2 linked regions of the Schizosaccharomyces pombe genome follow. Changing the gene in region 1 together with any one later gene gives a genetic interaction. Each region holds a gene or a part of one and is shown in the gene's direction. Other genes may lie near its edges.

Evidence for each region. Genes that interact genetically often act in the same process or in processes that back each other up.
Region 2: of cdc25 (region 1) and clp1, changing one enhances a phenotype caused by changing the other (phenotypic enhancement), as found in Schizosaccharomyces pombe (4 studies listed by BioGRID, with this or other methods).

What each region holds. Positions count from the first base shown.
Region 1 is NC_003424.3:480,533-484,132, reverse strand, and holds the start of cdc25 (protein tyrosine phosphatase (M phase inducer) Cdc25), read left to right. Parts: upstream 1-1,759; 5' UTR 1,760-1,847; exon of another isoform or gene 1,848-1,947; 5' UTR 1,948-2,592; coding exon 2,593-3,600. Other genes in the region: hxk1 (hexokinase 1), read left to right, coding at 1-686.
Region 2 is NC_003424.3:4,769,720-4,773,319, reverse strand, and holds clp1 (Cdc14 family protein phosphatase Clp1), read left to right. Parts: upstream 1-1,603; 5' UTR 1,604-1,660; coding exon 1,661-1,709; exon of another isoform or gene 1,710-1,764; coding exon 1,765-3,329; downstream 3,330-3,600. Other genes in the region: box H/ACA snoRNP complex subunit Nhp2, read left to right, coding at 174-638. UniProt on the Schizosaccharomyces pombe protein: Protein phosphatase which antagonizes mitotic cyclin-dependent kinase cdc2, the inactivation of which is essential for exit from mitosis. To access its substrates, is released from nucleolar sequestration during mitosis.

The sequences.
Region 1 (3,600 bases):
ACTTCCCTGAAGATATGAACATGATCATCAACTGTGAATGGTGCGATTTTGACAACCAGCATGTTGTCCTTCCTCGTACCAAATACGATGTTGCTATTGATGAAGAGTCTCCCAGACCCGGTCTTCAAACGTACGAGAAAATGATTGCTGGATGCTATTTGGGTGATATCTTGCGTCGTATTCTTCTTGACCTTTATGAACAGGGAGCTCTCTTTAACGGTCAGGACGTTACCAAGATTCGTGACCCCTTGGCCATGGATACCTCTGTGCTCAGCGCTATTGAAGTTGACCCCTTTGAGAACCTTGATGAAACTCAAACCCTATTTGAGGAAACCTATGGTCTCAAGACCACCGAAGAAGAGCGTCAATTCATTCGTCGTGCATGCGAATTGATTGGAACTCGTTCTGCCCGTCTTTCTGCGTGTGGTGTATGCGCCCTTGTTCGTAAAATGAATAAGCCATCTATGATTGTAGGTACTGATGGTAGTGTCTACAACTTATACCCTCGTTTTAAGGATCGTCTTGCTCAAGCATTTAAGGATATCCTTGGTGAGGAAATTGGCAGCAAAGTTGTTACCATCCCCGCCGAAGACGGTAGTGGCGTAGGTGCTGCATTGGTCAGTGCTCTTGAAGCCAAAGGCAAGGCCCTCACTTCTGATATTCTTGCCGAGCATCTTAAGAATTAAGTCCACTCATTGTTTTTAGGTTTTACGGATACTCATTTGATTTTGTGTCACTGAACTCCACGAAGTGTTCGACAAACTGTTTTATACTGCACTTTTTATTTGTTTCATACTCCATCTTTTTGCGTACAATTTGTTCCAGCAATTTTTATGGTTACACTTTTCTTTGTCTACTAATCACGTATCAGGGCGTTTTTACAAAAAGGTGCTCCACCTGATAAAATATTTTCTTTTTTGCTCTAGTGTTTCTGTGGATACGATATCTGCCTCTGATTGCTAGAATACTTTAAATAAAGGTTAGAGTTTTGTTATATTTTGTATGTTGAAGTGTAATAATAGCGGTATCTTTGTTGAAGATATCCGAGTTTAACAAGACAACTGGCTATACTATCTTGCGAAATATGCCTACTACGACAATAATGGTATCAACCCATAGCTACATAACATCGGGAGACTTTCAATGAGTTACACCCTCGTTTTCCAATTCGGAATGACAGTCCGAGTCCCGAAGTAGAGAGATTCATCGTGTTACGATTATTCGCTAACACCTGATAACATATTTTATCTCGCTGCTCGTGTTACATATCAGGAGTGCGGGTATGAGATTATGGGGATTTAATGGCTGTCAAGCAGGTTACCTGACGTTTGTTCTTATGTATTTGTTTACACATACACAACATTTGGCGTTGCTAGGGCAACAAATCAGACAAACTGCGGTGGATCGAATAGCTGAGATGTATGGACATGTAAACAAACATACAAGATGCAAAAATTTATGTGTTTTCATCTAGTTCAATGTTGTTAATGAAATGATTATTTGCTTTTATATAATTAATAGATTAAGAGGTGACATATTGTAGCTTGAAACGGCATTATCTACGCAACTAAACTATACAACAATAGTTGTCATGGCTGAGGTGTTGGCTAAGTATTACAGCTTACAGTTTAACTTTGCTTTAATCATGTATTTGTTTTTATTATTGTTTTCTGTTACTCGAATTTGTTGGTTGGTGTTTTATTGTTGTTGTTACCTTTGCTTTTTTTTCCTCTCGGAGGCAGAGCTGAGATTTCTCTCTACCCTCAACTATCTACAGCGCTTCAAGCTCTTCTCCTTTAGATCAAGTGTATTACATTGAAAATATTATTCTTAAGAATACCAAAGTTGTAAGTTTAAAAAGAACTTGATGCCTGTTAGTTTCGGGCATCCTTCTCTCCTCAAGTTGGATTCCTGTTGATGCTTCTCAAGTACTAACTGCTGGTTCAGTGATTTTTTGAAACGTCTATAATACAATTGCTTACGCTTTTTAAGGCAATTAATAGGATTCTTGAAGTTATTTGTTCAAGAAGCCTTTATATGGTAAAGTGGGGGGTTTATTACTTGTAACGAACTTTGAGTCTGAACTTTTGGGTATTCTGTTGTTTTCATATTAATCAACTGCTTTCTTTTAACTTTCTTTTTTCTTTCATTTTTTCTTTCAACGACAGTATCTTTTATATTCTATATTATAGTCGTGACCGTTGGTGCTCATCTATTTTTGTCTCATTAATCTCTTTTTTTTTATATACTTTTATTCGGTCTTCCCGTCGTGTGGAGTCTAAACTTACTTAAACTTCTTTCCGGTTTCTTTTGTAAAGGTTGGTTTTGTTTAATATTTGGCTATATTGCTTTCATCCTGTCTTTCTTTTAGTTTTCTTTTTGTCTCACTTTGGCATTAATATCTTAAACCGGTCTTTTGACTCTTCCCTAGGATTTTCCTTTATAATTTATCTTACTTGCTCTATTGATTTCTCATTCTGAAACTCAATCTTTTGCAGTCGTGTCGTCCCATTAGTTCTTTTTGCAGTGTACTTGGTTTAAATTAAATTTACCATTTTGTCTGCTTTTAATAATAGTTAAACCTCAACTAAAATGGATTCTCCGCTTTCTTCACTTTCCTTTACCAACACTCTATCTGGCAAACGGAATGTATTGCGTCCTGCTGCCCGTGAATTAAAGTTGATGTCGGATCGCAATGCAAATCAAGAGCTGGATTTTTTCTTCCCGAAATCCAAACACATTGCCTCAACATTAGTGGATCCTTTTGGAAAAACTTGTTCGACAGCTTCACCTGCATCTTCCTTAGCTGCTGATATGTCAATGAACATGCATATCGATGAAAGCCCTGCCTTACCGACTCCTCGTCGTACGCTCTTTCGATCTCTTTCTTGTACTGTAGAAACCCCTCTCGCTAACAAGACTATTGTTTCACCTCTCCCGGAGTCACCCTCGAATGACGCTTTAACCGAGTCCTACTTCTTCCGGCAACCTGCATCGAAGTATTCCATTACCCAAGATTCCCCACGTGTTTCCAGCACTATTGCTTACAGCTTTAAGCCTAAAGCATCAATCGCATTAAACACCACCAAAAGCGAAGCTACTCGTTCGTCATTATCGAGTTCTTCTTTTGATTCCTACCTTCGTCCTAACGTCTCACGTTCTCGATCATCAGGCAACGCACCCCCATTTTTGCGATCCAGATCGAGTTCCTCATATTCCATTAACAAAAAGAAGGGAACTTCTGGTGGACAAGCTACCCGCCATTTGACTTATGCCTTATCCCGTACCTGTAGTCAGTCGAGCAACACGACCAGCTTACTTGAAAGTTGTCTTACTGATGATACGGATGATTTCGAATTAATGTCTGATCATGAGGATACATTTACGATGGGCAAGGTTGCTGATTTACCAGAAAGCTCTGTTGAACTTGTTGAAGACGCTGCCTCTATTCAACGTCCCAACAGTGATTTTGGTGCTTGCAATGATAATTCTTTAGATGATCTTTTTCAAGCTTCACCCATTAAACCTATTGATATGTTACCCAAGATAAATAAAGATATTGCCTTTCCTAGCTTGAAAGTTAGGTCCCCTTCTCCGATG
Region 2 (3,600 bases), 4.3 Mb from region 1:
TGGAATAGTAGGCATTATGTCAATTTAAGGAATATTACCAAAGCTGGTATCTTAAAATTACGTATTATACAGATGGCTTAACAGACTATTATCCGCTACATAGCGTTACTGAAAAAAGTTTTATTGGGATCATCTTTTGGGCTTCCAAACTTATCCTTCTCCATTTCTTTATCATGGCAAAAGATAAAAAAGACCATAAGCATAGTGGAAGCACCGAAGATGAGTATGATTCATATCTTCCTGCTTTAATGCCAATTGCTAAGCCTTTAGCTCCTAAAAAATTGAACAAAAAAATGATGAAGACTGTCAAGAAGGCTTCGAAGCAGAAACACATCCTTCGTGGGGTCAAAGAGGTTGTAAAGGCTGTTAGAAAAGGAGAGAAGGGTCTTGTAATTCTTGCTGGTGATATTTCTCCCATGGATGTTATATCTCATATTCCAGTATTATGTGAAGACAATAATGTCCCTTACTTATATACTGTTTCCAAAGAGTTGCTTGGTGAAGCATCAAACACCAAGAGACCTACTAGCTGTGTTATGATTGTTCCCGGTGGAAAAAAGAAGGACATGTCTAAAGTTGAGGAGTACAAGGAAAGCTACGAGGAAATTATAAAAGAAGTACCTGCTCTTGAAGTTTAATTGTTCAATATCTAAAAGATGCTTAGCCATTTAATGTAGATTATTATATACTATTAAAATTTGGTATTTATCCTGGGATTTAACTTTTGGTATATCATGTCTGTTTGCTTGATAGTAAGCGAAAAGAAGTTTTGCTTAATGGTCGGTTTTAAGGTTTCAAAAAATTTCCTTTTTAATCTAGTGTTTTATCATTCTTTCTTATGCCCTAGTATTTTATGGGTTTAGACTGGTTTGCGAGCAAACTAATCACTATACCTCCAAAACTTTGTTAGCAATAATATCGTATCATTTACCAACTTATATGAGAATGGTATATCGCTGTAACAGCGATGAAATATCAACTGATTTTTCCTCAAATTTCGTTTACGCTGATCGTTTCATTACGGATTTAGCCTGTGTTTATTTCTAACTAGTTGCGCAAAAAAGTTTTATTATTCGTTTAGGTTGCTATTTAGTATTCAGAGGCGGCGTGTTAGAACCAGTTTACAACTAACTTAAATTTCACCCAACGTCGTTCTTACCATTATAATGTTTACAAATATTATGCTTTCCAGTGCTATCCATAAATGATAGATTAGGGTAGCTTTAAAGGTCCGGCAATTATATGGTTATCTATCCGGATTTTGTTATCGGATTTAAATATATTTGCTAAAACAAATCGAATTTCAGATAAAAAAGTTGGGTTGTATTTGTATGAGCAAAAAGTATTCTGTATGTTTATCATAAATTGATGTGCATTTTTACTTACTTTGTAAGATAATGATTATTGTTGTTTATTTACTATAGTGTTGCTAAAAGTTAATGTCTTTTTTTTTTTAATAAAGAGAAAAGATTAAATGTCAACATAACGTTGTGTATAGTTTAGAATCCACTTTTGTCTTCATTTGTTTCGCACCCCACATATTTTCTTGTGCATTATCATCCCTTCTATTTACAAGGACCACCAACACCCAGGTACACAATTTAGAACTCAACCATTACGGGTTTGACGAATATAGACGAGATTCGCAATTACTTGTCTGATGGATTACCAAGATGATGGGCTTGGTGAAATGATTGAGTTTTTGGAGGGTATGCATGAAGTTTAACTCAAATATCTCGTAAAATTGATTAACATGTTAAATAGACAAGTTATACTACACATCATTGTCGCAACCACCTAAAGCCGAGTTATATCCTCATATGCATTTTTTTACTATCGATGATGAATTGATCTACAACCCTTTTTATCATGACTTTGGTCCGCTGAACGTGAGTCATCTTATTAGATTTGCAGTGATAGTTCATGGTATCATGGGAAAACACAGACAAGCTAAGAAAAGCAAGGCTATAGTTTTATATTCTTCTACAGATACAAGGTTGCGTGCAAATGCCGCTTGTTTGTTAGCTTGCTACATGGTGTTAGTACAAAACTGGCCTCCACATCTCGCATTAGCCCCTTTAGCTCAGGCAGAACCTCCTTTTTTGGGGTTTAGAGATGCGGGATATGCTGTTTCAGATTACTATATCACGATTCAAGATTGTGTTTACGGACTGTGGAGAGCACGAGAGAGCAGCATACTAAATATACGTAATATCGATGTTCATGACTATGAAACTTATGAAAGAGTGGAGAATGGAGATTTTAATTGGATATCTCCTAAGTTTATAGCATTTGCAAGTCCTATTCAGGCTGGTTGGAATCATGCGAGCACACGTCCAAAGAAACTTCCTCAACCGTTTGCGATAGTTCTCGATTATTTCGTCGCTAATAAGGTCAAACTGATAGTTAGGCTTAATGGACCTCTTTACGATAAAAAGACTTTTGAAAATGTTGGAATTCGACATAAAGAGATGTATTTTGAGGATGGCACAGTTCCAGAGCTTTCTCTTGTCAAAGAGTTTATTGACCTTACCGAGGAAGTAGAAGAAGACGGTGTGATTGCTGTTCATTGCAAAGCAGGGCTCGGACGTACTGGATGCTTAATTGGCGCATATTTAATATACAAACATTGTTTTACTGCTAATGAAGTTATTGCTTACATGAGAATAATGCGTCCTGGAATGGTTGTAGGTCCACAACAGCATTGGTTACATATTAATCAAGTTCATTTCCGTGCATATTTTTACGAAAAGGCGATGGGAAGAGCAATCCAACAGGCCACCGCTGCGGAACCCTTAGCTACTCCTCCTCGCCATCCATTGAATGCTACGAATGGTACCTCTCAAAGCAATATCAGTACTCCTCTTCCAGAACCAACGCCTGGCCAACCGAGAAAAGTTTCTGGACATAATCCACCGTCGGCGAGACGTCTCCCTTCAGCGTCCTCTGTCAAATTTAATGAGAAACTTAAAAATGCTTCCAAGCAATCAATCCAAAATGAGAACAAAGCGTCATACAGTAGTTACGAAGATTCAGAAATACAAAATGATGATGAAACACGGACTGTTGGAACTCCAACTGAAACAATTTCAGTGGTTCGCTTGCGTCGCTCATCAAGTCAAAGCAATATCGAACCAAATGGAGTTCGTTCTCCGACATCCTCACCAACTGGTAGTCCAATTCGACGTACAAGTGGAAATAGGTGGTCTAGTGGGTCTAGTCATTCTAAAAAAAGTGCTCAGCGAAGTGTTAGCATGTCATCACTTAACAATACTTCTAATGGCCGTGTTGCTAAACCTAAGCCTTCTAAAAGCCGGCTAATTTCTTAATAAACCTGTAATTACTGGTTTAAATGGCAGTTTTTACATTCCTTTTTTTCATATAAACTAACTTTGAATTATACTGTGTCAACCCTGCATAATTTTTCATTAATTAACTTTACAAATATTCCCTGATTTAGCGCACCTTTGCGCGGTGGGGATCACCACCATTAATGTCTTAGCTATCCTTTTTGTTAACTAACATTCATATTTCTTTGGAAAAAACTTTGGCTTTTTGCAAGCCATGGTTAATGATTTTAATCGAGAAATTGTTTTGGTT